Notamacropus eugenii: one gene and its partners. The protein of the gene in region 1 purifies or fractionates together with the protein of each later gene. This does not show direct contact. Links are inferred from orthologs where the notes say so. Each region holds a gene or a part of one and is shown in the gene's direction. Other genes may lie near its edges.

Region 1 (8,404 bases):
GCTATGTACATGGAAATGTTTTCTTCTTATTTTGAATTTAAGCTTAAAACAAATTTTAAAACTTAATAAAAAGGAATAGAGAATGAACGAGTGAAAATATATTTAGCTATGTGCCAAGTACTGTGCTAAGCCTGAACAATACAAACAGAAAAAAAAATGAAGACAATCCCCACTCAGGATGCTCACCCGCTACTTGGGTAAGACAACATGCAAACATTTGTCAACATGTCCAAGGATCTCTTTCAAACTCTCCCTCATTTACTTCAAAGCAATTTAAAATGTTCCTGAGATAGAGTACCAGAAGATAAGATATAAAGATAAACATACCTTGCTCTTGGCCAGTTCAGAATTCATAGGTTTCATATTATTTAGAACTGAAAGGAACTTTAGAGATTCTCTTTTTTAGCCTCCTCGTTTTACAGGGAAGGAAACTGAGACCCAGAAGGAAGGGAAGCCAAAATTCAAGCCTATCCTCTAATTCCAAATCCAGTCACCGTTCTCCCTCGTTAGACTCACCTAGTCAACAGTGAGAAGAAACACCAGCAATATCATCGATAAGGGAGAGTTTTAATGCTGAATCTTATCTCCATTTCCATCTATTCACAGGTTATCTTAAACACATCCCTTAACTACAGTTTTCCTCGAGTCTCCTCTTCCAAAAGTAAACAGTTCTAATTTAGAAGACCTTTCAGGCTCCTTGTGAGCAGAAACCACTGAGGCAGTAGGAACCAGAGTTGGGCCAAAATGCAGAGAAGCGTTGTCATATGATTTGAGACCTTCTCCTCTCCAAAGAACTCACATACCACCCAAATTCCAAGATTCAGCAGAGGGATTGGAGTTAAAATGAAAATGTTAATTGGTAGTTATTACAAATTAAGGAGATTATTAACTCAATAATTCCTGGGAGGGGGGGGATGATGAAGTGGAGCAAGTTACTACACCTGAGTCTGTTTCTGTAAAATGGGGACAATTATAAAGATAAAAAATAAGGTACCCATATGTGGCTTTAAGGTTTGCAAAGCACTTTACATACATTATCTCATTTGACCCTCATCCTAAGTCTGTGAGGTGGAACTGATGTTCCTTAACCACATTTTACAAGTGAGGAAACTGAAGCTATAAGAAGCAAGGTGACTTACCCATGGTCAGACAGTAAGTATCAGAGGTAGCATCTGAAACCAGGTATTCCTACATTCAGGCAGCCTACACCTCATGAGTTCATTCCAGTATTGGCTACACCTTTGCTCATTCTCCTTGGATCATTGACCAAGTCAGGGGAATTAGAATACTACTTGCTCCCCTTTGCCACTTCCAAGATCTCTTCCTAGCTCCATCCTTCTTTTCCCTTTGAGATTCGTGCTATTCATTTCTAGAACCCAATCAAAATCCTGATAGCTGGTATCTCCAGACCCTAGGCTTACTCCCCTGCCAAGCTTTAGTCTTGGATCACTCTCACCATTCAATGTCTTCACTCCTATATATGTGCAATTGAGCAAAGAAAGAAGGAAAAATCACTCAACTATTATGATTGGGTTCACTACAAATTTATATTATACAACCTGAAATAAGCCCTCACCACTGCTAGGCAATCCTACTATACTTCCCTTATTGATTCACTATCCTACTCTCTCAAACCACCCCTAGGTTGGACTTCCCCCAACTTCTCAGCTAAGTTCCCGATATCATATTTTACAGAAAAAAAAACTGAGGCCATTTTGTCATTCAAATGGCTTCTGCCACTATCTACTCCTGCGCTTCTGTCTCACATGATGAGATGGCCTTACTTCTTACTAAAGGTAACCCTTTTTGCCTGTTTAATCAATCCCATTGCTTCCTATCTCCTCCGACAGTCATCCCCACTCTATCAGTTATTTTTAATCTCTCCCTGTCTATAGGCTCATTCCCTATGGCCTACAAATATGCCCACTTCTCTTGCATCCTCAAAAACAACAACAACCCTTGACCATCCCCTCTATCTAACCACTTTCCTTCCCTACTCTTCTTACCTGCTTACAATTCAGTTTCTGACCTTATCATTCCACTTAAACTGCTCTCTGCAAAATTACCAATCCACTGCCAAATCTAGTGGCCTTTTCCAGTCCTCAATCTCCTTGATCTCTCTGCAGCCTTTGAAAATGTTGATGACTTTCTCCATCTTAATTTCTCTTTTCTCGAGGTTTTTAGAACACTGGTCTCTCCTGGTTCTCCTTCAGCCTATCTGACTGCTCCTTCTCAGTCTCCTTTGCTGAATCCGCATCCAGATCATGACTTCTAAGGTGTGCCTGAGGTGTTCCTCCAGGTTCTGTCTCGGGCCTCTTCTCTTCTCCCTCTACACTACTATACTTGATGATCTCACCAGCTCCAGTGGATTTAATTGCTGTCTTGATGATGAGGATGATTCTCAAATCTACCTATCCTGTCCCAAACCCTCAGCTGGCCTCCAGTTTCCCATATCCAAATGCCTTTCAGACATTTCAAACTAGATGTCCTGTATACATTTTAAGCTAAAATGTCCAAAACAGAAATCATTATCTTTCCCCTTAAACCGTCCCCCTCTCTCACCTTCCCTATTACTATAGAGAGCAACACAATCTTCCTAGTCCCTCAGGCTCCCAACCTAGAAGTTATCATGGACTCCTCACTATCTCTCCCTCCCTGTAACCAATCTGTTAACAAAGTCTATGGATTTTGACTTTGTAGTACCAGTGGTATATGCCTCTTTCTGATACTGCTACCACTCTAATGGAGGCCATCATCCCTTCATGCCTGGATTATGCAATGGCCTGCCTGCTGGTGGGTCTATCTGCCTCAAATCTCTCTCCACTCCAATCCATCCTCTTTTCAGTCACCAAAGTGATTTTCCTAAAGAGTAGGTGCAACCAAGACACTCCCCTACTCTATAAATATCATTAGCTCCCTATCACCTCCGAGATCAAAATCAAAATGTTCTGGGCATTCAAAACCCTTCATAAACTCAATGTTTTCTACCATTTCAGTCTTCTTCCACCTTACTCCCCCCACCAGGTATACTTTGATTCAGTGACACTGGCCTCCTGGCTGTTCCACAGACAAGACCCCTCATCTCTTGGCTGGAGTATTTTCTCTGGCTGTCATCCATGTCTGGGATGCTCTCTCTCTTCAACTCCACCCACTGATTTCCCTGATTTCCTTTAAGTCCCAACTGAAATCCCATTTTTACAGGAAGTCTCTCCCAATGCCTCTAAATTCTAGTGGCTTCCATTTCTTAATTATTTCCTATTTACCTTGCATATAGCTTTGTATATATTTGCTTACATGTTGCATCCTCCATTAGATTATAAGCTCCTGGAAAGCAGGGACCATCTTTTGCCTTTTTTTGCATCTCCAGTGCTTAACATAATGCTTGGTACATAGGAGCTGTTTAATAAATATTGACTGACATAGATTGAGAACTTTGAGGGATCTTAGAAACCATCTAATCTCATTTTCTCAAGGAATTTACAATCATTTGGGAGAAATAAGTCCAACTCATAACACAGCTAATGATTTACTATCATGTATAATTATGTACCAAAGTAGATGGTACAGACCATAAGTATATTCCAGCATTATGCACATTATCAATACTCAATAAGTGATGTGGGTTGACATACTTTAAACGTGAGCATTGCACAATAAATGGCATATATTTGAATGCCAATGCCTGGGAGAAAAGTTTTTAGCATAAAAATGTCCAACAGACGCCTCCATCAGTGATTCTCACTATGAGAATAAATCTTGATAGCTTTTTCAGTAAAAAACAATACATTTTGATTGATTGACAATGCTTGAAAGTGTTTTGTGCCCTTTCCATACACATAGGCTATTATTCTGGCCACTACTACCAGTAATAATAATTGTGATAGATACTGAATCTCTGATTCCATTGATACAGAGAACTCCCTTTGCCAATGCAGGTAATACCTTCTCTTCAACTTTGCCTTCCAGGTTAAATGACTTGACCTGGGTCACATTCAATACATGCCTTAGGCAGGATTTAAAACCTATAGATTTTAGCTTCTGAACTATCCTACCTATAAGGATGATGATGATGATGATGGTGGTGGCGGTGATGATGGTGGTGATGGTGGTGATGATGGTGATGGTGGTGGTGATGATGATGGTGGTGGTGGTGGTGGTGGTGATGGTGGTGGTGATGATAATGATGGTGGTGGTGATGATGATGGTGGTGGTGGTGGTAGTAGTGGTGGTGATGATGGTGGGGATGATGGTGGTGGTGGTGGTGGTGGTGGTGATGATGATGATGATGATGGCGGTGGTGGTGGTAGTAGTGGTGGTGATGATGGTGGTAGTAGTGGTGGTGATGATGGTGGGGATGATGGTGGTGGTGGTGGTGGTGGTGATGGTGGTGATGATGATGGTGGGGATGATGGTGATGGTGGTGGTGGTGGTGATGGTGGTGATGATGGTGGTGGTGGTGGTTTTTTACTAGAAAAAGCCAGGATCTAATCCAGTCTTTGGGCTGGACCTTGGGCAAGTCACTCAAGGCTCTTGGCCACTCTCTGAGATGACAGCTGTCAGAGAAGGTGCCAACCTGCCTCGGTGGATGGAGTTTCCTCTTTCGGCAGTTCCCTGCATCAGTCATATCACAGTCCCTGTCACTATCGCCAATAAATTTATCAGTCACCAGCTGGGGGTTTTCTAAGGAAGCTGACACAGGACTCCTTGGAGGTCAGAAAAAGGTTTGAGAGAACGGGGTACTTTTGGGTGGAGGTGGGTGGGGGGTCCCAATGAGGCACCTTGGTGACGATGCAGAATCACGGGCTGGGGCTTCGGTGAGGAGCAGGGAGAAGGGGGTGCTGCGGTCCAGCACGTCCCAATCCCCCCGTGGGGCTGAAATCCGGGAGAGCTCCGCATCTCGGCCCGGGTCTGCCTCCTGGGGGGTGTGGCTACGGGGCACCGATGGCTGGGGAGCCCGGACGGAGGAGGCGAAGGCACCGTGACACCCCCTGCCCCCGCCCGGGATTCCTGGACAACTCCCTCGAGCACCGAGGGCCCTTCCCGAGCAAGCGGCCCCCGGACGCCCCCGGGGAGGCAGTCATCGGCGGGGGCGGAACCGAGGCCTTTCTTTCCACGTTTCCCCCTCCCTCCGCTTTTTTGTTCTTCTCCAAAGTAGGTGATTTTTGTTTTTATTTTTTGAAGAAAAACGACGGCGAAAAAAAAAGAACCGTCTTCATTCCCATCACCGCGATTTCCACATGGACATGACGTCCGGCCGGCGCTTCCGAAATGCCCAGGTTGAGTCACGCGGGGACAACCCCGGCTTTGAAAGGGTGAGGAATTTTTCGGGCCCCCCGGGCCCCTGCGGGAGCCCCCTGGTGGCCGGCGGTGCGCGGCCTGCCCGGGGCAGAGCCCTTTGCACCCGCGCCCGCCCCGGTCCGAGTGCTCTGCAGAGAGCCGCCGCTGGGCGTCACAGTCACATGTCGGAAAGTCCCAGCGCCCAGGCTGGAAATCCCCGGGCTCATATATTATTACCCTGGCTAAAAGAAAGGAAAAAGGAGAACTGGCGCAGTCGTTCTAGGATCTAGGCTCTAGGATCTAGGATCTAGGCTAGGAGCCGGCGGGGGTGGAGCAGCTGGGAGAGCAGGCCGGCGGCGGAGGAGGAGAGTCCTAGTCCGGGAGCGGTGACGGCAGTGGAGGCGGCCGGAGGCCGGCCCGGCCGGACTTAGCGCAGCCGAGCCCCAGGCTGCCTGCCTGCCTGCCTGCCCATGGAGCGCCCCGCCGCTACGACCTTCACGTCGGCCCCGGGCCTGCTCGTGCACTAAATATTCGGGACTTTGGCGTTTCGTTGGGAGCTCGCTCGCTGCTGCTTCGCCAAGGTAACCCCGACCTACCTCTGCGCCCCCAAACCTTGCAGGGGAGTGGGCGCGATCCGGCCGCACGAGGGTGGCACGGACCTTGACCCCTGGCTTGCAGCTTGTGGTGGTGATGGGGCGGGGAGGGGAGGAGGGCAGGCCGGGGCGGGGGGCGCCTCCGGATCCCCCCGAAGGGCTGCGCCTTTAAGATGAATTAGAGATCGTGCGGAGACCTTTAGCTGCAAAGGGACGGAACGTTAGCTAGAGTCGTGGAAGCGCCGACTTTAGAAGCTAGCAATTAGAAGTCACGCAGGGGGATTCCACCTTGTCCGCCCAGGGCCACGGAGAGCGCGGAGAACGCGGCATTCCCCGCGGTGCAGAGCGCAGAGGCGGAGGACGCTGCGGCGCGCCCCCGGGCCGCGCCTCCCCGGGCCGCGCCTCCCCGGGGCCTTGGCGGACGGGGTCGGCTTCTTGGCTTTCTAAAGCTCCGCAGACGCTGAAAGCCCTGCCCCCCCCAGCCCTGGTCAGCCAGCTTCGCCGGGCTGGCTTGTCCCACATCCTGCCACCTGGCCTCTTCAGGACGGCCGGGGCATGAAGGACTGGCCTGAGGCCGGAGCCCGCTGCCTGCAGCTCTCTTCTCCTAGGGAAACCAGGCTGATAAAGGGCTTCAGAAGCTGGCTGTCCTTCCCCTCGATGGAAGCCCTGAAGTCTTGAGACATGAACAGGGAAAGATTTAAGAGATGATGACACAGATCTTTAACACTGGAAGGAAAGAAAAGAGTGATTGCTTTGGGGGAAACTGAGGCACAGTGCTGCATGTATGAAGCAATTGTTGAACCCGTGCTAAGGGTAAGGCGTCGTGCTGGCTGCTCTAAAGGATCCAAAGACCAGGTTGTGGGCCAGTCAGTGATGCAGATATTCTAGTCTAATGCACCGGACCTTGCCTCCAGCAGTTTGGGGAATTTAAGGCTTTGGAGGAGTGCTTTCCAGAATGGAATTGGGGTTTTCGTTGATACAGTTCACAGATTTCCATCTCGCATGCCAAAGCACCTGTGCAAAATGGAAAAAGAAAAAGAAAAACCAAAAGGAAAAAAGAGGAGGCTTCTAGATATGAATAACTTCTAAAGAATTTTGTAGTTCCCAGTGACAGAATTTGGGGAAATTTTTGTGAAATGAGTCAAAGAAATATTACAAAACATCACCTTTTTTTTTTTACATATTCATAAGACTATTTTCTTGTCTTCTACAAGTGTATAACCATCTGTTTTTAGAAATGTTTACTCCGTGGCCCCATCTGGAGTGAGGTCTAAGAACTGGAAATTTGGAAGGGGGTATTTTTGTTTGTTTCAGTGGGTAGTTTTTGGAGGATGAAGGACTGCGGTAAATGGTTGAGTTGGTTCATGTTCTCGAATATTGATGTTAAGATGGGTTTGTGTGGATGTATTTTGGCTCTCACAATTTAAGGAAGACCTCTGGGACTAGAAGAAGCAGTGAATAAAAGGGTGATTCATTCTTCACATGTTTTCAGGACTCTTTAAAGGCCTTTTTATGGTGACCCATTTTTAAGTGATCTAAGATTTACAAAACATTTCACTCAGAGCCATTCTGTCAGGGAGGTCATGTAAGTGTTAAGTCTTCCTTTTTTATAGATGAAGTTAAGATCCAAATAGTGCAAGTGATTTGCCAGGATGCAAGCCAAGACCTCCTCTCTCCAAGGGATTTAGTGCTGCCCATCTTATTTCCCTCGAAGGTTAGAGTTTTATAAACATGTTTCTGATGGAGAAATCAAGGACATTTTGAAAGACCACACTTGCAGCCTTCAGTCTCCCTGCTATCGAGAGAGAAAAACACTTTAACATTTGGCTGAGGGAAGGAAAAATTATTCACCTGAAATCACATATAGCAATGTCAAATTGAAATTGAAGTCATTGAAAAAAATTCCACTAGAGAAAAACCTTTTACATTTTTTATAATAATAATAATGAAAGAAGTGTCAGGGTTCATAGTGATCACCATAATTTGAAATCCTATAGGGTAGCAGATGTCTACATTACTTAATACCTTATGCATTATGATAGGCCAAAGTAGCAAGCAAGGATCTCAGCATCCCTAAGATATATGTATATTTGCCTTGGAAGGTAGGTTAGCTTTCAGCCTTGGAAGAGTGCTGTGAAAAGGCTTTCTTGATACAGTACCAGAGCCAACTCATTCTTGATGCATATCTTTGTCACCTTGAAGGTTCAGGAGTCATATAAAGAAAGGGAGATACTTTGAGACTACCTGGGGAAATACCGGGATAATTGGGAAATGTTTGGGGATTTTCATTGTCTTTTTTTTTTTTTTTTTTTTAGTAATATGTGATGATAGGAAAAGGAAGCAATGAAAACACCTGGTGCTTGCACCACTATGACTCGTTAGCCAAAATGGGTTTGGTAGCTAGAACCTAAAATCACCCTAGCTAGAAGATAATCTCTGCTGGCCTCCCTGCTTCTCCATATTTCTTATGTTTTGCTCTTTCCATTTCCTCTTCATGGCCCTCATTTTCCTGTACTGTTTGATTAGGTGTGAAG
Region 2 (7,720 bases), on another chromosome or scaffold:
ACCTAAGTGACCCTCTGGCTATTCCTCAAACTCCATTGTCACCTGCTTGCTTCTGGGCATTTGAAGAAGCCTCAGATGGGGAGCGTTTCACTTTTGTCTCTCCATCGCCAGAGCATGGCCCATAATAGGCACATACATAACTGCTGAACTGAACTGAAAATCAAAGCCAGTTCCCCTCATTAAAACAACAATCCCTAGAAATGATGACCAAAGGGAGAACAGCTTCTGGGGCCAGAGTCAGACTCCTAGAATGGTGGTTGGATGACTTTCTAAACTGACCTGGAGGTTAGGAAACAACATTAAGAACCCTAGTGAGCAGGAGGAGTCCCTTTAAGGGATGTCCACATAAGAGAAAAGAAAATGGTCCCAGTGGTGTGGAAGGTGGCAGCTACCCCTCCAAATCACTAACTGCTGTCAGGAGGCTTAGGCATACTCTGATCCAAGCTCCTCACTTTACACAAAGGAAACCTCTGGACTGTGTTAAAGAAATGACTGACCCAAGGTCCCCAGCACATAGGAATGGGTGCCAAGGCCAGCCTGGGGATGGGCAGTGACTGGTCTGAGATATCAAGCCCTCTCTAGGGAGCACGGGTAAGCTAGATTCCCGGTGATTTCTAGGGAGCTGAGTAGGGCCAAGGCAACCCCGAACCTCCTGGGGAGCACAGCCAGGCCTGCTCCAGAGCACCCTGGGGAGCACAGCCAGGCCCAGACCCCCTGGGGAGCACAGCCAGGCCTGCTCCAGAGCACCCTGGGGAGCACAGCCAGACCTGGCCTCTCAGACCCCCTGGGGAACACCAGGCCGGCCAGGGTCTCACCTCCGGTGTAGAGGAAGGAGCTGGACAGGCCCCCAAAGAAGATGAGCGCCAGGTGCTCGAGCTTGAGCGCCGACAGGCAGTAGAGGCAGGCGGCGCACACGCAGCCCAGCGTGTAGAGGAAGACGCCGAAGCGCACCACGTCCTGCGGCTCCAGGATGCGGTCCACCAGCGTGCGGTCGTCGCTCTTCTTGTGATCGATGCCCTTGGAGAAGTCGTAGTAGGTGTTGACCAGGTTGCCGGCCCCGTGCACGGCCAGCACGGCCACGGCGCTGCCCAGCAGCAGGCCCGGCTGCAGCGCGCCCTGGGAGCGGTAGGCCAGCGCGCTGCCCAGCGCCACGGGGGTCAGCGAGGCGCTGAAGCTCCAGGGCCGCAGCGCCAGCACGTACGAGGCGCACTTGTGGCGCCACGACCGCCGCGGCCCCGGCCCCGGCGCGGCCCCGCACGGGCAGCCATTCCCGGCCTTCTCCCCGGCACCTGCCGGGGGACCCTCGCCCGCCTGGATGTTGATCTCGCCCGGGCTCTGGGCCGCAGCCATGGAGAAGGCGAGGGTGGGCTGCGGGGCGGGGCTAATGGAGCACGTGGAGGGGCCGGGAAGAGCACGAGGAGTGGGCGGGGCTAACCTAGCGGCTGGAGGAGAGCTACAGGGGCAACGGGGGCGGGGCCAGCGGGGAGAGGGATATAGAGGGGGCGGGGCCAGAGGGGAGAGGGTATGGAGGGGGCGGGGCCAACGGGGAGAGGGATACAGAGGGGGCGGGGCCAGCAGGGAGAGGGGTACAGAGGGGCGGGGCCAGCGGGGAAAGGGGTACAGAGGGGGAGGGGCCGGCGGGGAGAGGCGTACAGAGGGGGAGGGGCCAGCGGGGAGAGGTTACCGAGGGGCGGGGCCAGCGGGGAGAGGGGTACCGAGGGGGCGGGGCCAGCAGGGAGAGGGGTACAGAGGGGCGGGTCCCGCTGCCTAGCAGAGCCGGGGGCAGGGAGGGGAGCGGACCTAGAGAAGGGAACGCGAAACCCACTGCTCCCACGAAGCGAGGCGGGGGCTTTTGGAGGGGCTCCCCGCTAGGTAGAGAAGGCTGGAACGTCGCCAAGCGGAAGAAGGGAGCGCCCGGGAAAGGAGGATACGGGAGGCGGGCAGCCGTCCCGCTGGAGGCCTGACCTCCTCTGCCCCACGGATGTCCGGTCTTCCTGTCACTCAGGCTCTGAGTCAGTGGCAGTGCTGGCGCCGGCCCGGATCTTTCAGCCAGTCCTAGGGGGCCGCCATGTTGTGCTCTGGCCTTTGTCGGCCGTGCGGAAACGGGCCCCCTGAGCACTTAGGGCCGGGGAAAGAAGAGCTCGCCTTGTCCCTCTACGCTGGGGGAGCTCTCCATCCCTGCTCCCTAGGACCGTTCATTCAGTTCCAGTGAAGGAACTTGTGTTAAGCTACTGTATGCGAAGCACTGGGAATACAAAAAGGAAAGGCCGCGATACAGTTTAACCTGTGTGACCTTGGTAACCACTGCACGTGTCACAGTGTTTACCGATGCTTCATTCATTCTTGTCAGTTTTTAATATTTGTACCTCCAGGGCCCAGCACAGGTGCTAAAGAAACGTTGCTGTTGTTTTTAAATGAAGACAGTCTCTTTGAGAGGGGAAATCACTTGCCCAGGATCACAGGGATGAAAGTTGAATTTCAGGTCTTTAACTGACCTTTAACTCCAAATCCATTCCTCTTTCCATTGCCTCCCTGAACCCCCAGAAAAAAAGATGGGCTGTCAAAAGAAAGAGTAGAGACCCTGTGGTCCTGTCTGCAGCTGAGTCACAGCCTTTCTGGGTGACCAAAGATGAGATACAATTCTTATCCTGCTTCACATGAATAGATTCCATTCGTCACTGGTTCTTGGTTCCTTTTTCCCCCTTTATTTTTTATGTATGCTTTCATTCAAAATAAGAGGCTTGATGGAATATCTCGAAACTCCTCCCACCTTCATATTCTGTGAAACAATGTGATCAAAAAATCTCTTAATTACTCTGTGCCAGGCACTATGCTAAATTTGTCTATTACAAATGGAAGAGGAGCTGGGGCAGAGAAATCAACAAGAAAACAAGCTTCATTGTATCCAGAAAGTGGTTGATCCCAGATGACCTTGGGAGTAGGAGAGAGGCAAGAGTCTCGATGAGGGGGCATGATTGCATTGGTGGGCTATGATCTGCACTGTTATGGGAAATATCCACATTAATAAGTTCACAGAAGCCAAAGGAAGACCGTGTGATACGCAGATTGTGTAAGGACGGGGATCCAAAGTAAGGGTAAGATCATCAACTTTAATTGGGCTTGATCAGGGAGGATGGGAGAACAGAGCTGTGCCTTTTGAAAAATCAGTACTACTTGGAAACAGTGTAATAACTCATTTATATACTGATTTCACAACCCTGGTGCAAGTCTTTTTATACCCATTCCGCAGATGCAGAGGCTAAGAGGCTAAGTAATGTGTTCCCCGAGTCCTACAAGTGCCAAGTGTCACAATCCAGATTCAAACCCAAGTCCAGCTCACACACACACCCATACCCCCACACAGTTTCCACTACTCCACGCTGCCACTCTAGGCAGAGAGCCAAGAGGGAGCATGAATGGGGAGTGCGTAGGGCAAGCAGCCAGACTCGGGGCAGGGTTTGTCCTGGAAACCAGCACACTTGAGCCCTCGCGCTGGAGTGCGTGACCTCGGGGACCTCGAGGATCTCTGCTGGGGTTTGGTAGGAAGGAAAAGGCCTGGGGCCCCGGGGATCATTTCCCAGGTAAAACTCCTGAATGCGACACGAAGGACGCCTGGGGAGGGGACGGGTCGAGAATGTGTAGCTTCGGCTCAAGTTCACGTGCGGATCCATGCAAAGGTCCATGCTGGGCACTATCACGAGTGGAGGGCGGGGCTCTGACCCAACTCTCCAGCTCTCTCGGCTGAGCCGATACGAGCGAGAACTGCCCGGCGATCGAGGGGGCTCATTTCAACGGAGCACGCACTGGAAGCCGGGTCGGAAGTGGCAAAGACGGCAAACTTGCTGCTGATTGGCCTGTGCCGGTGTTTCTCGGCCCGGTGCTCGCCTGTGACTGGATGTGCGGCTTGTCCATTTGAACGGCCCCCGCCTCCTTGGGGGGCCGAGTTCCAGAGCATCCCTCCTTCCCCTCTGCCATTGGTCGGTCTGCCCGCCCATCTCCTGCTCCGATGTGCCGGTTGGTCCTAGCGGCTCGGTGCCCCGCCCTTCCCCACCCGGCTCGGAGGGCAGCCGGGAGGGAAGGCGGGCGGTGCTGGGGGTGGGGGGTTCCGGAGCGGCGTCGGCGGCGCCTTGGGCAGCTGCACCGGCTGAAGGGAAGGCCGCAAGTAACGCAAGTCACGGTGAGTCTGGAGCCCGCCGCTCGCTTCCCTGGGCCGGGCAGGGGCTGGAACCCGGCCCCCCGCGTTGGAGGGAGGCCGCGGCTCCCCCGGGCGCCCTGGGCCCTGCAGACGTCCCCGGGGCTCGGAGCCGCCCCCAGACCCCGGCTCGGCCCGGCCTCCAGCCTCCGCCTGCGGCGCCTTCCCGGCCCCGGGGCCTCCTGGAAACCCCATCCCACTCTGTGCCCCCGGCCTAGCCAGAGCCTCCCCAGAAGCCCCCTGCCTCGGCGGGGTGCCCCCCGACGGTCACATGCCAGCCACAGCGCCCCTGGGTCCTTAGGGGCCCCCCAGAGTGCCCACCACCACCCTCACGCCCCCAGAAGCAGAGCCCCCTGTTACGCCACCAGAAGCTCCCCTACCTCTCCAGAGTGCCCGGGTGGGAAGCTTCTCCAATTCATCTGAGCTTCCTGGAGGTGCCCCCAGACTCCTCCCCAGAGTTCCCCCCAAAGGCTCCCCGCTTGCCCTGAGCTCAGCAGCCATCCCGTCTCATTCCTGCAGAGACCCGCCTCAACCCCACATGCCGTCAGCAAGACACCCCAGAAGCTCCCTGAAAGTCAGCACAAGACCCCCAGAAATCCCCCCAACACCACCAGTGTCATCCTGCACCCCCTCTAAACCCACTTCACTTCTATGCTGCCTGATTCAGAAGCGCTTGAAATGCCCCCGGATGTCATCACTCACAACTTTTCCTCCACCTTCTTAGACTCCTCAAAGGCTACCTTAATAGTCAGTAGTTACATAAACATTTATTAAGTACCTACTGTGTGCCAAGTGCTATGCCAGGCCCTGAGTATACAAATAGAACAAGAAAGAGGGTCCCTGCCTCCAGGAGTTTATAATCTTATGAGGGAAGACCACACGCAAAGGGAAGCTGAAAATGGGTGGAGGGATGCCCGGTGGGGGGACATGGTGGAGAAGCCCTGAGAAGTGCAGCCAAGTGAGCCATCAGGAGCCCCCTCCTTAAATGAAGATCTTGGCCCCATACTCAGTCCTAGAGGTGCCCCAGGCAAGGTGGAGAGGTCATTTGATTTGGGAGAAGTTCCAGGATAATGCAGCCAGGTGATTAATGAAGAGACTCAAGTCAATCACCTGCTCCTAGAAGATTTCTAGAGACCTTTCTAGACCTGTCACACATAACTTGTACCCGCAACACATATCTTGTACCCGCAGCCCCCCATTTCTGTAGACCACCCTAGGTATTCTTATCCAGCCCCAGCCTTTCCTGACTGTCCAATGACAAATTTGAACTGGATAAGCTCAAGAGGTTCCTTCTACTGCCAGTAAGGCCCAGACCCCTTTCCTGAGGAAGGTTCAGCTGGAGGAGACTTCAAATATTTGAAGGGCTGTGGTCTTGGGCTTCGCCCCTAAGGCAAAACCAGAAGTGGGTGGAAGGTACAGAGGATGACTCTCCACTAAATGTATGGGAAAACTTGCTCCTGAGCCCAGGTCCTAAGAAGGACTTCTATCCCTGGAGGATTTCAGGGGAGGCTGGATGTCTTATTTTCAGGAGCTGAAGTCTCAGCTCAGGCCCTGAGAGTCTATAAACATCATAGGTTATACTTCAGTAACACTTTGTAGAAATGTTTCTAGATTACCCATCTACTATAGAATGCTCAAAAAACAGATCTAAAGTAGGTTCCACCTTCTCAAGGAACCACATCAATTGATCACTTATACTGGAGAGCTGAGGATATTTTGCCTAGAGAAAAACAGACTTACTGTTTGTCACAGAGCAGAAAGATTAAACATGTTTTGTGTGACTTCAGAGTGGAGAGGCTGGGGCAGTGTGTCAATTATTAGCAGGTGAGTTATAGGCTCAGTCATGGTAAGAACTGATCAGAAAGCCGGCTGACCAGGAATTGGGTACTTCCTCAGGATATATCACTGTGAGATAGGTAGTACAAATAAGGATTATCCCCATTTCACAGATAAGAAAAAGTAATGTTCTAGGAGGTAAGTGACCACTTAAAGCCACCCAGCTGTTTTAACAATCAAAGACCTGAAATTTGGATTCTTCTCATTTCAAGTTGTGTTCTTCACCACACACTGTAAAGTAGTGAGTTCTCTGTCACCTGGGAGTATGTAAGCAGAGACTAGGTAACTAAATGTCAAGGATGTTGTACATGGAATTTGTGTTTCTCAGAATTCAGATTGGAAGGTATTATCAAGTCCAACACCCATGCTTGACCAGGAATCCCCTCCATAGCATATGCGATCCAAGAAGCATTTTGAGACAAACGGTCACCTAGCTTGGACTTGAAGACTAGTTATGTTAATTCTCCCTCCCTCCCCCTCCCCCAATTCTTCATGGCCTAGCTCCTCCCTGCCTTTTCAGACTTTATTTCATGTTACTCATATGCAGCCAGACTGGCTTCCTACCTTGTCTCTAGACTCATTCTGTTTCCTTTCACATGCTGTACTAGTATTTAGAATCCACCTCCTCCATACCTGCTCTAGGACTCCTTAGCTTAGTGTCCCTTTCCTCCCCAAATACCTGGTACATATTTACCCCCACCAGAATGTAAACGCCTCAAAAGCAGGAATTGTTTCATTTTTGCCTTCATCTCCCAAATGAACAGCACAGTGCCTTAGGTCGGGTGGGTACTTAACAAGTGTCTTGTTTAAATTGAATTAATAGCCTCTAATGAGAGGGAACCTACTCCCAAGACAGCAACTTAAGTCAGGCCTGCTGCACAGCCTGCAGTCCATGGGCACAGGCCTAGCTTAAGTAAAGGCTGGATGACCTCTGAGGCCCTTTCAGCTCAGAGTCTGCTTTGGTAATATTTATATAGCTTTACAGATAGAATTCTGTCTTCACCCTTCACAGACACCCTTTTCAAGTTCCACCTCTGTCTACTCTAGCTACTTCCCAAGGTCCTGAGCAAGCTCACCTGCCTCCCCACTGATCCCTTCTCTGGGCCATGGTGTAGCACACAGTGCCAACCCCCGAAAATAGCCTAATGAAGACTCCTGTCCTGTGAATGGGTCAGAGGTCCATAGATCTGTAGCTGGAAGGGGTCTGAGAGTCTACCAAGTCTGACCTCTTCGTTTTACAGGTGAAGAAACTGAGGCCAGAGAGGTGGTTAAATGACTTGCCCAAGGTCACACAGCTAGTTGGTGTTTCAGATGGGATTCCTGGTCTTCACTTCTCCGTGCTGCATGCTCCAGTCCACTCTGTGGTGGACGTTCCTTGTCATTTAGGAAGGCTAAGGAGCCTTGTTCTTGGGAATGTGCTCAGAGTAAGAGCACTGGTAGCTTCTCTACTAGTACCAAGCCCTTTTTGTATCTCACATTGCAGTTTTTAATTTGTCACAGCTTCCTTTCTTTTCCCTGCAAAGAAATGATATTGAGCTTGACTCCAGCCTTAGTCTGAAACTAAGATGCGTTCAACCTCTTAAATTCAGTCATTTGGAAATCTGACATCTGTTACATCTCTTGGGGTACCTGCTGGTCAAACCCTTGCACCTCAGAAACAGTCAGAAATGACTATTTGGGCAATTCCTTGAC
Region 3 (7,713 bases), on another chromosome or scaffold:
TTTTCTTTCTTTTTTTTTAATGCTTTTATTGATCTTTGTCTTTGCATCACCTTTGCATCACTAATGTCTTCCTATGCTTCTTGGGGTTCTTCATATTTATCATTTTTAGAATGTTTTAATGTCCCATTACATTCATGAGCCACAACATGTTTAATCTTTCCCCAGTAGATGGATATCACCTCTGCTTCTAGTCTTTTTTTGGGCTCCTCCCCCTCCCATACTATTCCTATGAATATTTTGGTATACATCATGCCAGTCTATTTCATCATTTTTTCTTTGAATTCTTTAGGGTATATGCTTAGCACTGAGATCTTTGGGTCAAAGAGTATGAACATCATTGCCACTTTTTCAGCATGATCCCAAATTGCTCTCCAGAACAGGGGCACCAACTCACAGCTTCTATATGGTACCATCAGTTTGCCCGTATTTCCACAGGCCTTTCAACATTGGCTGTTTCCATTGAAACATCTGTTTCACTAGGCTCTCCTGTAGAGATAATAGAAGTAGTCCCTGTATCTTTTAGAATGGGGTGGGAAGAGAAGGGAAGTATTTGGGAATAGTCATTTAGTTTTACAATTGCAACTGTCATTCTTTGAGGTTTTTCTATGAAGGGCAAGTGTGTGTGTGCGCATGTGTTTGATCTATGAGACTCTATAAGACAAAATATGGAGAAGACAGAAAACTTTTCTGGTAAGAATCACTAAATTCACACTGATTATATTCAGTGTCAGGAACTGGACAAAACAAAACTGTCATTTTTTTGATCATTAGAAGATATTTCTGTGAAGACATTGTGAGGAATTGATGATTTATAGTACATTCTGGAGAGATTTACCTATGATGTCTGCTTAGAGGAGAAAGCAAGATGACTAAATTCCTGATTGAATTTAACTCTTATCTTGAGGAGAAATGTGAAGATTCTTGAGATATAAGTTGATAACATGAGTGAACTGAATAGTGGCATTGGGTTTTCGTAAATAAACTTCATGTGTCATTAAAGGTTAGAGGTGGGTCTGGCTGTGATCTTTCAAACAGCTAAAGTATTGTAAATAATTGTGACTTTGCTTTTATTACTGATTTAATTTGTTTAAAAATTATATGCTCAGGAATGTTAATATTTAATCAAAGAACATTAAAGGATTTAATATAGAGATGAGTAATTACTGTTGGAAAAGGAGGTTTCTCCAGTCTGTTGAATAACATTTAATGAAAATATTGTTCTATGGAATGGCTCTCTGTTAGGTAGGAAGGATAAAGATATTGAGAAGAATTCTGGTGATGTGGAGGGAAAAAAGGATATCAGCAAACATTTATTTTTAAAATAGCTAAGTTTAAAAACTCTAGCTAAGAGACTGTAATTTTATTATTGAATAAGAAAATATACAGATAATTCTGGATTATTCTAGAGCTCAAACTAAGATTAAGAGAGTGAGAAAAGTCAAATAGCAGACTGAGGGGCGAACCCTGAATGAGGTTGGTCAATTTGAGGCAGAAAAGAGTAACAGTTGCAAGCGTAATACCAAATGGCCAGCCCCAGCTGCTACCTCTCCACCTGCCATTTCATTTGGCTCTTAAAGACAAACGTCAGTTATCCGAAGCCTTGGTGAGGAATCCTAGTAGAACAGGTGTTGCACCACCTTTTTTCATCTTTACTGGATATATGGCTACACTTCAGAGTTGTGTTGATTTGTGTTTTTCTTATTAGTGTTATCAGTCTTTATTAGTATTCAGGACAAATCTTTCATACTGTAGTATTCAGTTCTTTGGAGAATTGTTTATTCATATCTTTTAGCCACTTACACATTAGGGAATGACTCGTAAGTTTTATTTGCGCTAATTCACTATATATCTTAGGTATCAGAGATATCTGATGCAAATTTTTTTCCTAATTTAATTTTTCTGGTCTTATCATCATTGCATTGATTTTATGTCAAAGCCTTTCAATTTTATGTAATCAAAATTGCCTTTTGGGATGACCCTTATCCTTTGATTAAGAATATTTCCCCTGGGAAAATACCTGATCTTTCTCTTCTAATTTTTTTTACAGTGTAATCTTTTAATTTCAGATCCCTATCCATTTTGACAACTGGTTATTTTTCACATAAGGATAAACCCAACACTTATTTGCAGAACAGCTTCTAGGTACATAGCCCTGTACGACCGAATGAAGTAATACATTAAGATACAATCCTGCTTTCTAGGAGCTTATAGGTATCTATCTACTTGGGGGAGATAAGACACACCTGCAAAACTGAAACAAAGAGAGGAGTAGAGATAAGGTTATTTTTTAATGATTTTAAATGGACATTGGTCTGGGAACTAGGACACGAGGACTGTCCCTGACTTAGCTTTGTAACCTTATTTGGGTATTCCCCTGTAAAACGAGGAGGGTAGACCTAGAGAATCCCTAAGGTCCCATCTAGTCTATGATTTCCTGGCTTTTTCATGGGAATTGCCACAAGGGGCACTCTCACAAATTCAAAACAAAGAACAACAACAACACAAAAACTCCCCAAACTGATGCAAGACTATAGAAGGCTCTGAGACCTGTGGAGGAAGGAAATGTGGAAAGCGGAAAGGAAGTCTCTCTTCTGAACTCTGGTAGTTTTCTCTTCTATCATTCATTTGCCTACTAGCATATACATAGATTTGACTTTCTTGAATATTCATTGAATAAAGGCACTTAGATCTTGAAGGAACTGCAGAGTATTGGAAGGAATCTCAAGCCATCTAATCTAACCATTACTTGAATAAGGGTCCCTTCTCTAAGAGTTTTAATTAATAATCTCTAGTGAAAGGAGGCACTCTTCCTCTGGAAGCAACCTATTCCACTTTTTCATTACAGTAATTACATTACTGTAAATTACTGTTAGGAAGTTTGTCCTCCCATCCAGCCTAAATTGACTTCTTTTCAACTTTCACTCATGGCTCCAAGTTTCACCCTCTAGAGCCAGGCTGTACAAGGCTAATCACTCTTCTTTTTATATGTATTTTTTAATTATGAATTTGAACACCCCATCCCTCCAGGGCGTTTCTATGTGCACACAGAGTGGAACACAAAAAGAGGATTCATGACTTTTTATTTCCCAACTTCTTCATTTTTACTGGCTGTCCTCTGGACCTGGAATACTCTCCATCTTCTCTGGCTGCTTCCAAGTCTTAGCTAAATTCTTACCTTCTATAAGAAGCCTTTCCCCATCCTCCTTAATGCTACTTAAACTATTCTGTTGAGTATCTCTAATTTATCTCCTATACTGTCCTTTTTTTTTGGTACACAGTTACTTGCATGTTGTCTCATTGTCTCATTAGATTGTCTCAAAAGCTCTCATGAGCTTTTGGAGGGCAAGGACTATCTTTTGCATCTTTGTATCTGCAGTACTTTCCACAGTGTTGTTGTTCAGTCATGTGTTGTTGTTTAATCATTTTCAGCCATGTGCAATTCCTTGTGACCCCATTTGGGTGTTGGGTTTTTTTTTTTTTACAAAGATTGTTTATAAGTAGAGTGGTTTGCCATTTTCTTCTCCAGCTCATTTTACAGATGAGGCAACTGAGGCAAACAGGGCTAACTGACTTGCCCACAGTCACACAGCTAGTAAGTTTCTGAGGTCAGATTTGAACTTGGGGCCTTGGCCCTGACTCCAGGCTTGGCACTCTATCTACTGTGCCACCTAGCAGCCCTGCCTGTAATTTAGGAGGTGCTTAATAAACACTTGACTTCAAACCCTGAGTGAAGCATAGTCTCTCTTCAAAACAATATGTCTTCAGATACATGAAGACAGTAATCATGTCTTCTCTGAATCTCTTCACTTCTAGGTAAAACATTCCCAGTTTCAGTGGATCCTATGATGGTATGGGTTTGAAGCTTGTCACCATCCTGTCTGTTTACTTCTGGAGCTTTCTGGATGATGAATTTCCTTCCTCAAATGTGACCCCCTAGGACTGAGTGGAATATTCTAGATGTGGTCTAATCAGGGCAGAAGTCTAGCATGATCATTACTTCTTTGCCCAATCTTCTCCTTTTACAGATGAGGGAACTAAGACCCAGAAATGGAAAGATTCTTGACTAAGGTCAAAAGTGACTTGTCCAAGGTGGTCCTAGAACTCAGGTCCTCTGATCCGAAGTCAGGTCCTGATCCAAATCCAGTACTACTGTTTTTACTTTATAGAATCATAGATCTTTTATTTTTTAGTTAAATTTTTTCTCAGAGATCCATTTTCTCTCTCTCCCACATTCCATTCCCTTTCCCCACCAGCATGAAAAGCAAAATTCCCTGTTGCAAACATGTATAGTCAAGCAAAACATATTCCCCCCTTGGCCATGTCCATCTGCATTCTGAGTCCATCACCTCATGGAATCCTAGACCTTTTTAGAGAGGGTAAGTTACCTGGAACTGAAAACCAGGTATTACCCTGGCTCATACCACTCCTAACAGATCCTGTCTTTCAAAGTGATAAGAAATCCTTTGGTTTGGTGAAAAGAGCACTTTGGATTTGTAGTCAAACGATCTGGGTCTGAATTTACTTACTTACTGGTTGTGTGACTTTGGGCAGGTCACTTCCCCTACTTTGAGTTTCTGTTTCTTCTACAATGGCCTAGCTGATCTCCAAGGGCCTTCCAGTTGCAAATGTTAGGAGGCAGAGTTGGGAGACCTAGGGAAGCGCTGGGCCCCAGCCCTCAGAGGTTCCTGGACTGGTGGAAGCAGAGACTCAGACTCGGGGCAAGCGCAGCTACCCGGGACAGCTGCCCCGGCCGCGCTCTCCCTCCATCCAGTGCCTGCGCAGGACCAGACTGCACCGGCCTAAGCAAGCACCCTACTGCCCTGGTCCCTGCCCCGGAAAAACGGCCTAGGGTAGGCCAGAATCGGGTGCAGGAGGAAAAGTCCCCGGGAATGCTCGGGGAGAGCCCCAGCAGGAAATTCCCGTTGGCGTGTGCTCTCCCCGCCCCGCGCGGCCTGGGCCCTCCCCAGCCTCCACCCCTCGGGCTTGCCTAGGTCTAGCCCCGACTTCCTAGACGCCGCTTAAAAGCATCTTGAGGTCCAGAGCCCCCGCCCCTCCTCTGAGCCCCCCTGGAGCTCCCGTCGCTGGCCACAGCTCCAGGGCAGCGGGGCTCCCATCTCACCCCAAACCCACCTTTTCAGCTCCCCCCTTCTGCCGGGAGCCCCCCGAAGGCCTTTAGCCCCGGGAGCGCCCTTTGGAACCTCCAGCGGACGCTGCCCCAGCTCCCAGCCCGGACCCCGAGACCGCAGCCCCTCCTTGGGCTCCGCGGCTCCTGGTCTCGGAGCCCCTTCGCCTTCCGCCGAGCCTGAGCCGGGCTCCCTGCAAGATCTCTCACCGCCGAGCCTCCTGGGGAGCCCGAGCCGGGCCTCCTGCACAGACTGCCGTCCCACAGCCCCTCCCTGGCCTCTTGCAAGGACCCTCATCCCGGAGCGTCCGCTTGGCCTGCTGCCGGGATTGCGGACCCACAGCTGAGCCCGAGCCCGGCCTCCTGCAGGGACTGTCAGCCCGGAGCCGCCTCTTGACTTCCAGTGGACTCCGGGGCCGGGGCCTCTCCTGGGCTCCTAGCTCAGGCCGGCTCCCCGCCGCCATGTCATCCGTAAGCACAGAAGATTCCGGGGCCAGCGCGAAGGACTCCCGGCCCGGGCCCAGCGGCGGGGCGGGGCCCCCGGCCGAGAAACCGGAGGAGGCGGTGGAGCGGCTGCAGCGCGAGAACCGGAGGCTCCGGGAGCAGGCTCCGCGTGCAGCCGCGCTCTGCGGCCTCTACCACGAGGCGGTGCAGCAGCTGAGCTTCCTGCGGGGCCAGCTGGCCTCCCGAGACGCCCTGGTGGCACGCCTACGGGCTAGTCTGGCCGCTTACGAGAGCTCCGGGCCCGCCCTGGGGCCCGGGCCCGCGCCGTCCCTTGTGGACGGGCTGGTGGAGCAGGTGGCCCACCTCAAGGAGCAGCTCCGCGAGCAGGAGACCAGCGCTCGCGCCCGGGAGGAAGGACTGGGGCAGGTAAGGAGGCTCCCTCCCCTAACTTCCCCTCCCCCACCCCTCTGGTCCCCACCCTCCCCGTCCCAAACTCTGTCCGCCTTTCCCCGGGCGGCTGAGCGCCTTGACTCACTTGATGCGGAACAGTTAGAGCTGCCCATTGATTGACAAGGTGGGCTGCCTCCTAATGCGGTGAGCTCTCCATCACTGGAGGTGTTCAAGAAGACGCTGATATACTTGTTAAGAACGCCGGGGAAGGGATTCCTGCTCACACAGGGTTGGACTGGATGCCCTTTGACATTCTGTGGTTCTGTAGGACCAGTCCAAACGGTCCTAAAGTGGAAGAAACCACTGAAGTTGGGTAGGTGGAGAGCTCCCCACTGGTAGAGGTGTTCTGCTTTAGGGGACTTTGTGGAGGGGATTCCTGTTTAGGTTTTCGCTGGACGGTCTTTGCTGCCTTCAAGAGCTAGACGGGCAGAGGTGCAAGGAACCCTGTAGGTAGGTCATGTAGTTCAACACCGGCATTTTATAGGGGAGGAAACTGAAGCCCGATCAATCAACAAGCATTTATTCGACATGGACTTTGTGCCAGGCACTGAGCTAAGGCCAGAGAAGCTCATTGATGTCATCTGTTAATAAGTTTAGCGGCAGATTCCCAGACCACTTGGCACGCTTTGCTATCAGCGGGTGCCCCTGTTGCCCCGTAGGTGGCCTACTAACTGTGTGACCTGGACAAGTCACTTAACTTCTTGGTGCCTTAGTTTCCTCATTTGTAACATGAGTAGGTTAGACTTGTTGACCTTTAAGTATCTTCCAACAACAAATCTACATTCCTATGACTAGGTGTTTTCCTCTCCTCTTTTCCAGAAAAAAAAAATCCTGATTGCATTGAAACAGTAAAAGCTTATTAACACTGGAATTTGGAGTGTATATCAGTAGTAGAAAGATCTTGACACACCTTTTACGTTTCAGCCCTTTACTGGTGGAAGCCTCTCCTCTAGTAAATTCAGTTCCTAACCTGTGTTGCTGTGTTGCCTGTGTGCTTGTCTTGGGTTTCCCCATCTGTTAAGTGACAGGGTAGGACCAGACTAGATAAGCTCCAAGGTTTCTCCCTGCTCTAAAAGGGACTTTAGGCCCATGAATGTTTTAGCTGGGAGGCACCCTGGAGATTTATCTAGTCTGGTTCAACCCCCTCTTTTATAGCATGGGGAAACCCAGAAGAGGCACCTAGGTACATAGAGCTGACTCAGTTGTGTCCACTGAAGATGCAGATTCTAGGATGCTATGCTGCCTGTTGGATGGTTATCCTCTACCTTCACTTTTCCCCAGAATACAAGGAAGCATAATGAGATTTACAGACCCTTGATGCATATTCCATCGTTCATTCGTTTTCTAGGAAACTTTGAAATCCCCTGTAGGCTGAAGTGGGAAGTTAATGTGCTTAATATTAAGGACTGACTTTGACCACCATGCTCCTTTTAGAGCCTCAAATTGCCCTGGGGGCAGGTCTTTTCCGTAGTTTTATGCCCCTTCCCCTTTACTCTCAACCAAAAGAAAATTTGAGTTACTGAGGGAAATTTGACTTAAGCCTGAATAACATAAAGAAGGACCCAAATTTGTCACCCAAAGTTTTAAAAAGATGAACTTTTCAAAACAAGGGTCCTGAACTGGAATGTTAAAGACCAGGGTTATTATTTTTATTAAAGCTTTCTTGATGCTTTAAAAAATCGCTCACTTCCCAATAT
Region 4 (7,826 bases), about 290 Mb from region 1:
ACAAGTAGACCACAAAGAGCCAACCTAGCTTCATCAAGAATAGGTCATACCAGACTAATCTTATTTCCTTTTTTGATAGGATTACCAAACTGGAATGTGGCATCCCTTAGTTTATAGCTGCCCCTCTCTCCCTATGTCCTTCTGAACATCTGGGCTTCAGTCTAGAGAGCAAGGGAGGAGGTGGTCACAGGAAATGAATGATACAGCTCTGGCAGGGGAGTACCATGCTGAAGGTCAGGGAGGAAGACATTAGAACATATAGTGGACAGCTTTTTCTTTTTCTTTTTTTTCTTTTTTTTTTTTTTGTTGGGGCAAACTATTGGGTCTGCCTATACTGCTCTACCAGTCATGAGTGAGTTGGAGCCAAAGGAGGTTCTAGATCACTGAGCAGTACAGAAAAACCCAGACCAAAAAAACTGTTTGTTCTCAAGTCCAATCAGACTATGAGTTTGTTCCCCATTGCTCCAGTATTTCTTTACCTGCCTTCTTCACCACCATCTTCACCAGTCCTACTTGATGCATGAATATCCTACAATGAATTTTGAGTTATGACGTATTGTTTGTACTTCTTTGGTCACTCAATGGAGGATTCAAATTGTGTATTTTTTAGAACTTCAGATAGAGCCCGTGTCTGGGGGGCTTCCAGGTACTAGAAGAGCAACAGAACTTGCAGCTACTTATTAGATGTTTTTATGCATTGTTCTCTTGTTATCATGCATTGATTACTTGTTTATTGACTCCATGTTGAGTAAAAATGCTGTTTAGAGTGTCCAAGCATATGTGTCTGTTTTTTGTAGAGAGAAAGGATTCTAAAATACCCTGAAAGGCTCAAGAGGTCATCAGATTGAACTGAAAAACATGAAATTTAATAGTGAAAAATGCAAAGTTTTCCACTTAAGTTAAAAAAAATCAACTTTACCAGTACAAAACATGACATTCAGGGCCAGGTCTTACTCACGTCAATCTAGTGGCCCAGGATCAGGCCTCAAATAAAATGAGACACTTGTGGACCACATAACCTCTAATAAAAGTTTACTCAACAGTATCATGGAAAGGCTACTCAACAGTGATACACTGTTGGTTCAGTTGACTGCAGTTCACCTTGGCACTCCCCTTGCCCCTGCACTCCTCCCAATTCACCAAGGGGACACAATCAGAAGAATTGTTTTGACTTGTATGGAGGTGGAAGTTAGCTAAGACTGAGGAACCTAATTACTTACAGGCTGAGATTTTATGCCTTAGGAGGCCTGGAAGTTTGATTGGTTGTTCAAACCCTAATTCCCTGGACCAGTCATGTTTCCAAGGTGGTCTTTTTAAAGAAGTTTAGGACATACATGAATTTCTAGCTATGCAAAAGTGTTTATTGATATGGTTCCTGAACACATGAGTAACAGACATTGCTATACATAACTAGACGCAGTTCATCCAAAAAGAATATGGGGAGTTGAATGGAATGCAAACAACATATATGCAGCGACAACAGTATGATATGGTAGGAAAAAATGACCAGGGCAGGAATTCCAGGCCAAAGGGAAGACTGCATTTCTGTCCTTCTGAAACAGCAGAACTTTCCAGCTGGCTGATTATTAGATGAATTCAACAGCAGTCTACTGACACTCCAAACAGGGCAAGCTCACAAACATGCTGGTCAGATACAAACCCAGGTCAGGAACTTGCAGGGCTCAGATCAGGGAGCCAGTTATCAGATTTTGCTCTGGATCACTATGCCCTCCCACATTAAGTGCAGTGAAAGCTTGTGGGTCCCCAACTTGAGCTGTCCAGAGATTCTGAATAACACAACACTGAACACCACAAGAAAACAACAGCAGGACCAGCCTGGACATTCCCTCCAGACGTATACAGAGTCCAACACTAACATAAAGGTTGAAGTCAAGATGCAGGCTGGAGGAACGGGCAAACAAACAAACAAATAAAAAACAATACCATTACAAAAAGCTGTTACGGCGATAGGGACAATCAAGACATAAATACAGAAGAGATTTATTCCAAAACATGTACAAGAAAAGCCACGAAGAAAAACACAGTTTTGGCATAAATTTAAACTAGACTTCTAGGAAGAGAAAAAGAAAGAGCTTAAAAATATTTTCTTCCTAGATAAAATGAAAGTTCTAGAGAAAAAGATAGGGCAGTGGGGAAAGAGCCATAAAAGAAAGAATTGGAAGAGATACAAAACCTTGACCAAGCCTGAAAAAAAAAATTCTTTAAAATCAGAATGGACCAGAAGAGACCAATAACTCCATTAGACAATAAAAAATATTAAAATAGAGTCAAAAGGTTGAAAGGATAAAAGATAAAGGTATTTCATAGCAGAAACAACAGAAAAGCTGATTGAGTCAAGAAATTTAAGAATGATTGAACTACCTGAATATCATGATCAAAAAAAAGGGGGGTGGAAGCTAGAGATAATTTTTCAAGAAGTCATCAAACAGCCCAGATCAGGACCAGGGGGCAAAGTAGAAGCAGCCTCTATTCCTTCCTGAAAGAAACCTCAAAATGAAAATTCCCAGGTACATTATAGCCAAAATCCAGGGCTTTCCAGATTAAAAAAAAATACTACAAGCGTCCAAAAAGAAAGAATTCAAGTACAGAGGAAGCCACAGTCAGAATGACACATGATTAGCAGCCACCCCTAGAAAGGAGGGAAGAGCTTGGGATATGGCCAGCAGACAGAGGATAGAGATGAAAAATGAAAAATAACTTACGCAGTAAAATGGAGCATGATACGGATCTTTACTGAATGGAGGACTTCTAAGCTTTCTTGATCAAAAGACCAGAGCTAAGTAGAACCTTTGAAAGCCAAACGCAGGAGTCAGGAGAAACGTTAGAAGGTAAAGCCAAGGGACTAAACAAGGGTAAACATGGAGAGGTGTTAGCTGGGTCCCACCTCACCCTCTTGTCCTCAAGGCTAATTAGACACAAGGTCTAGGAGTATTCCTCTCACAGAGTCTTCATGATCTTCCAAGCAGGACAGAGAGAGGAAGAAAAATACACTGAGGAAGACAGAGGAGATCCAGAAAAATAACCTCACATAATCGGACGGGCAAGAAGTCCATCAATCAATATTTAGTAAGCACCTGCTGTGTGCTAAAGAGTCACAGGATGTTGCTGAGCTCCAGGAGCTTACAAGGAACACGCAAACAACAAAAGGCAGAAATCGCTTTCTGCAGAACAGGCGGGGAAGGCGTCGAAAGGCAGCGGGGCCGGGGACGGCGGGCGGCCAGCCGGGAAGGACGAGCACGTTCTGGGGCCGGGGAAGGCGGACGACGCCCGGAGCCCGGGAAGGACAAGCACGTGCTGGGGCCGGGGAAGGCGGGCGGCCAGCCGGGAAGGACGAGCACGTGCTGGGGCCGGGGAAGGCGGGCGGCCAGCCGGGAAGGACGAGCACGTGCTGGGGCCGGGGAAGGCGGACGTCGCCCGGAGCCCGGGAAGGACGAGCACGTGCTGGGGCCGGGGAAGGCGGACGACGCCCGGAGCCGGGAAGGACGAGCACGTGCTGGGGCCGGGGAAGGCGGACGTCGCCCGGAGCCCGGGAAGGACGAGCACGTGCTGGGGCCGGGGAAGGCGGACGACGCCCGGAGCCCAGGCTGAGGCCCGGGAGCCTGCGGGCTGGGCGTCCGGCCTTGGTGGTGCATTTGGGCTTCGTTCGATTCCTTTGGGGGACGGTGGATTATTGCCATGGTCCCTGCCGCTTTGGATCACCCGGGCACCTTATGTCTAAGTATTCGTCTGTGTCTTTGATAAGTTTTATTAAGATGTCATTAAATAAAATGGTTTTGGATCAGTTTATTTCATTTGTCCATTTTTAATACAATTTGCATTTCTTTTCTCTTTTGAAAATAGGAATAGTGAAGTGCGAAGAGAAAAAAGAGAAGGGTAAGACAGAGGGAGGGAGGAGACAGGGAGGGAGGACCCTTGGGAAGAGGGAGCCAGCGCAGCAGCGTCTCGAGACGCGGGAGGCGGGGCGCGAGGGAGGGGGCCCGCGGGGCGGGGTGCGAGGGGCGGGGCCTGAGCACGCACAGCGCGGTGACGCCACGACGCCGGGCGGGCCCGCTGCACGCCGCGTCGCGCCGGGCCTCGTTGTGGCGGCCGGCGCTGAGGGGGCGGCGGTCGCTCGGCTGTGGTGGCGCCTCGCCTCGCCCGGTCTTGCGTGGGTCGGCTAGGATGCGGGCCTGGCCGGCGGCGCCGGTCCCCGCCGTGTCCGCGGTGTCCGTGTCGGCGGCCCCGGGCCCCCTCCGGCCTCGGCCGGCCCGGCCCTGAGCCGCCGCCCTCGCGGGGGGCGGGGCCCCGGGGCAGCCGCGGCCGCTCCGGCCCCTCCCCCGCCCCCAGCGCCGCCCGAGCCCGAGCCCGGCCTCCCTGCCAGGCCGCCGCCGCGGGGCCCAGCCCGAGCCCGGAGCCCGGAACCCCGAGCCGCCGCCCGGGGCCGCCCAGGGGGATGAGCCGCCGCAGTCGGCCAGCCTGAGCCGGGCCGGAGCAGCGAGAGCGGTCCCCGGGAACGAGGCAGCGGAGCCCCGGAACCCCCCCCCTCCCCGCCAGCCCCCCCTCGGCGACAGCCGCCGACCCTCTCCCTCGAGTGACCCCCCCCGCCGGCTCCCCCAGGGGCCCTCCCCCAGCCCTCCGCCCCCTTGCACCCCCTCCCCCGTCCTCGCACGCACTCCCGGAAGATGGGGAACTGCCTCAAGTCCCCCACCTCGGATGACATCTCCCTGCTCCACGAGTCTCAGTCGGACCCGGCCAGCTTTGGGGAGGGCACGGAGCCGGATCAGGAGCCGCCGCCGCCATATCAGGTAGGGGAGGGGGCCCGGCGGGGGGCGGGGGGCGGGCCCGAGGGGCAGAGAGAACGTCCTGGAGCCCCCACCACACCCCCTTTGGAGGCCAGCCTGGTTGTGCGGAAGCACTTTGAAAAAACCCGCCCCGGCTCGGCCTGCCTTGGTCCCCGGGGAGGGGGCGCCTCCCGCAGAACCCCCACCTCCCCTGTGCTCCAGGAGGGCGCCCCGGGCTCGAGGGGCCTCGGGTAGCCCAACCCTGCCCCAAACCATGTCAGCACTGGCCAGGCACAGCACTTTGGGGAGAGGGGGGCCGCCTTGTGATGGGGGATCCCTGCCTTGGAACCGGAGGGGCTCAGTTCTTGTGGCCCGACTCGGGGCCTCCTTTGTTGATTCATGTGGTGACATCACTGTCTGGGGCTGTTCTTTTCTCCTGACTGGGTTAAGTCGGTGGCCTTCTCACACCGGAAGGACCAGGCAGGCAGGAGGTGGTGAAGCTTTGCGTGTTTGGCATTACGTTTACCGACGCTGCCCGGGCATCCTTGGCAGAGAAGGCAGGACTTGGAGAGGCTCAAGCTGAGGCCCAAACGTGCGCCTCCTCCCTGGGCACGGTGGGCGAAGCAGAGGAGGCCCGTGTTGGCTCCCGGTCTGTTTTTGAGGTAGACCCCCCAGAGTGCTGGATATTCCTGATGTCTTAGTAGCCGAGGGCTTAGAGGTGACTTCTTTGTTAAGGAAAATGAAGACCCTGGGTGAAATGCCCCATGATTTCCACTCAGTAGGAATCCCAAAGCCAGGGAGGCTTGCATTGGACCGTGAGACCCTCCCTTGAAATTCTGCCTGGTGTTGGCAGTGGCACCTTCTTTCGCTTTTGACCTTCCTCGCAGCAGGAAAGAATTAATTAACAGACGTTTATTAAGGCCCGGCTGTGTTGGAGGACAGAGGCAGTACAGTCCGAGGATCGTAGCTTTGGAGTTAGCAGGGATGGTCAAGGCCATCAGGTCCAGTCTCTCCAGGGTCACATACATTAAACGTCTGCGGTGAAATTTGAGCCCAACTTTTTTTGACCCAGACCATTGCTGTGTCGGCTACTACACCATTCTCTAAAGGAACTTAAATCCTAAAGAACCAATGGATCCTAAGAACCTGCCTCCAAGAAATGGATAGTCACCTATTGAGAATTTGTTGTTAACTGAAAGACTTTGATATAATTTCAAAAAGAGGACTGGACTGTTTCTTTTAGAGAAAAAAACTATATTAACATATATATTACGCATCTTACCACACTTATCTTTCAGCACCCTGTGATGCAAGGAATCCCTATGTTATCCCCATTTTACATTTGAGACAACTGAGGCTCACAGAGATTTAGTGGTTTGCCTATGCTTGTCACATTCCTAGGAAGTGTTGAAGCCCAGGACTTACCACTGTCAGCCATGTTTTTGTGTTGTTTTTCCTAAAAGGATAAGAAATTTGCTCAGATTCATTATTCCAGGTGATTTAAATATTCATCTTCATGATGATTCTTTTCCTTTGTTAATGTAATACAAAGTAGCTTTGTCTTTTTTTTTTTAAGAAATGGTAGATAATTAACACAAAACTACAGGAAATTTTTAATTTAGGCTTGCCATGTCTTAAGGAATGAGTGATAAATGAAGTAGGAATTATTTTATGTCAGGGAGTAGCTAAGTATGTAGAGGCAAACTTGGTATTACACCATACGGATTAGGTTAGGATGTGGCCTTTAAGTTTTGTTTCTGTTACACAATATACATGTACACCAAGTCCTCTGTAGAATAAACTTACTAAAATTTACCTTGTTACTTCCATTAAACTCATTGAGGCAAAACATAATTTTGATACATTTATTATTTGTTGTATATACAACCTAAAATAAGCTTATGCCTTTTTTAAAAGTTTGCTGTATAGACAGTCTTTAAAATCAGTAAATATTATGGGGTCATAAATTTAGAACTGGAAAGGGATAGGAGAGGTTATCTAGTTCAACTTCTTTATTTGATAGAATGAGCAGCTTAGGCCCAGAGATGATTGACTTGCCCTATTTTACACAAGTAGTTAAGTGGTGGAGCCAGTATTTGAACCCAGACCTTCTGACTTCCAAATCCATCTGGCATTCTAACCCCTTGCCATTTGAAGAAGAATGTAGTTGTATATCTTGTAAGAACTGTTTCTATTTACAATTCTGTTTTTGTTTTACGTTATTAATCTTTTATGGAAACCAACCTAAAGATCACATCTCAATTGTATTCTCATGTATTTTCCCAAGATTTGAATGCTTTTGGTTATATAATTGCATTCACTGTATTTTAGGCCCTTTTTTCTAAGATTCCGTATGGACAATTTTACTCTGAAATTTAAACCTATAACTGTCCCATCCCCTCTCCCTTTCCTCAAGACACCATGCATTTGTTTGACATTTATTTAAACACTGTATAGTGAATAAGAAACTCCTCTCTTTTAGGACCTTGCACAGTCTAGTAGGGTGAGAGTGGACATTTAAATAGAGATTCTGTTTCATTTCATATTTTAGTCATGGTAGAGATCTAAAGTGCAATGAGATCAGTTGAAGGAAGAAAGCATTTCCAGGAAGGTTTGTTGCACCCAGTCACCCGGATGAGAGCTTGGTAATGAATATTTATCAAGGAATGAGTGGTGCTCGGAGCATTTGCATGAGCACATTTACAATCTGCCCATTTGCGGTTTTGCAACATTACAATAATTTAAAATTTACTAAAAATTTCTCTGCCTATTTTGTGTTCATGTAAGATTGTGGCAGACAGATATACATTAGAAATAGAAATTCTCTTTTGTTTTTGCTACAGCACGCAGCCATGTCATACCCTTTAATGAAGATAAAGACTTTGGGGAGTAAAACTTTGAATTTATGCTCAAGCACAACTTTGCCTTTTGTTCTTTAATCAATTTTTCTTAAGGAATAAGAATAAATGTTAAACATTTTGTGATTTGTGAAAGAACTATAATCCTCTCAACCTGGAAGACCATGTATGTTTTATAATCTATAGG

Evidence for each region.
Region 2: the proteins of TNFAIP3 (region 1) and MTOR purify together in Homo sapiens (affinity purification with western blotting, with the first as the bait; 3 studies listed by BioGRID). This does not show direct contact. The link is inferred for Notamacropus eugenii from reciprocal best matches to the Homo sapiens genes TNFAIP3 and MTOR.
Region 3: the proteins of TNFAIP3 (region 1) and TNIP2 purify together in Homo sapiens (affinity purification with western blotting; 5 studies listed by BioGRID and IntAct, with this or other methods). This does not show direct contact. The link is inferred for Notamacropus eugenii from reciprocal best matches to the Homo sapiens genes TNFAIP3 and TNIP2.
Region 4: the proteins of TNFAIP3 (region 1) and RNF11 purify together in Homo sapiens (affinity purification with western blotting; 3 studies listed by BioGRID and IntAct, with this or other methods). This does not show direct contact. The link is inferred for Notamacropus eugenii from reciprocal best matches to the Homo sapiens genes TNFAIP3 and RNF11.

What each region holds. Positions count from the first base shown.
Region 1 is NC_092873.1:224,323,731-224,332,134, forward strand, and holds the start of TNFAIP3 (tumor necrosis factor alpha-induced protein 3), read left to right. Parts: upstream 1-4,930; 5' UTR 4,931-5,237; coding exon 5,238-5,312; intron 5,313-5,379; exon of another isoform or gene 5,380-5,858; intron 5,859-6,310; exon of another isoform or gene 6,311-6,650; coding exon of another isoform or gene 6,651-6,683; intron 6,684-8,404. UniProt on the Homo sapiens protein: Ubiquitin-editing enzyme that contains both ubiquitin ligase and deubiquitinase activities.
Region 2 is NC_092876.1:50,533,131-50,540,850, reverse strand, and holds the start of MTOR (serine/threonine-protein kinase mTOR), read left to right. Parts: upstream 1-4,074; 5' UTR 4,075-4,177; intron 4,178-7,720. Other genes in the region: UBIAD1 (ubiA prenyltransferase domain-containing protein 1), read right to left, coding at 816-1,350. UniProt on the Homo sapiens protein: Serine/threonine protein kinase which is a central regulator of cellular metabolism, growth and survival in response to hormones, growth factors, nutrients, energy and stress signals.
Region 3 is NC_092877.1:52,608,402-52,616,114, reverse strand, and holds the start of TNIP2 (TNFAIP3-interacting protein 2), read left to right. Parts: upstream 1-4,158; 5' UTR 4,159-5,584; coding exon 5,585-5,992; intron 5,993-6,101; exon of another isoform or gene 6,102-6,538; intron 6,539-7,713. UniProt on the Homo sapiens protein: Inhibits NF-kappa-B activation by blocking the interaction of RIPK1 with its downstream effector NEMO/IKBKG.
Region 4 is NC_092873.1:511,485,519-511,493,344, forward strand, and holds the start of RNF11 (RING finger protein 11), read left to right. Parts: upstream 1-4,363; 5' UTR 4,364-4,682; coding exon 4,683-4,805; intron 4,806-7,826. UniProt on the Homo sapiens protein: Essential component of a ubiquitin-editing protein complex, comprising also TNFAIP3, ITCH and TAX1BP1, that ensures the transient nature of inflammatory signaling pathways. Promotes the association of TNFAIP3 to RIPK1 after TNF stimulation.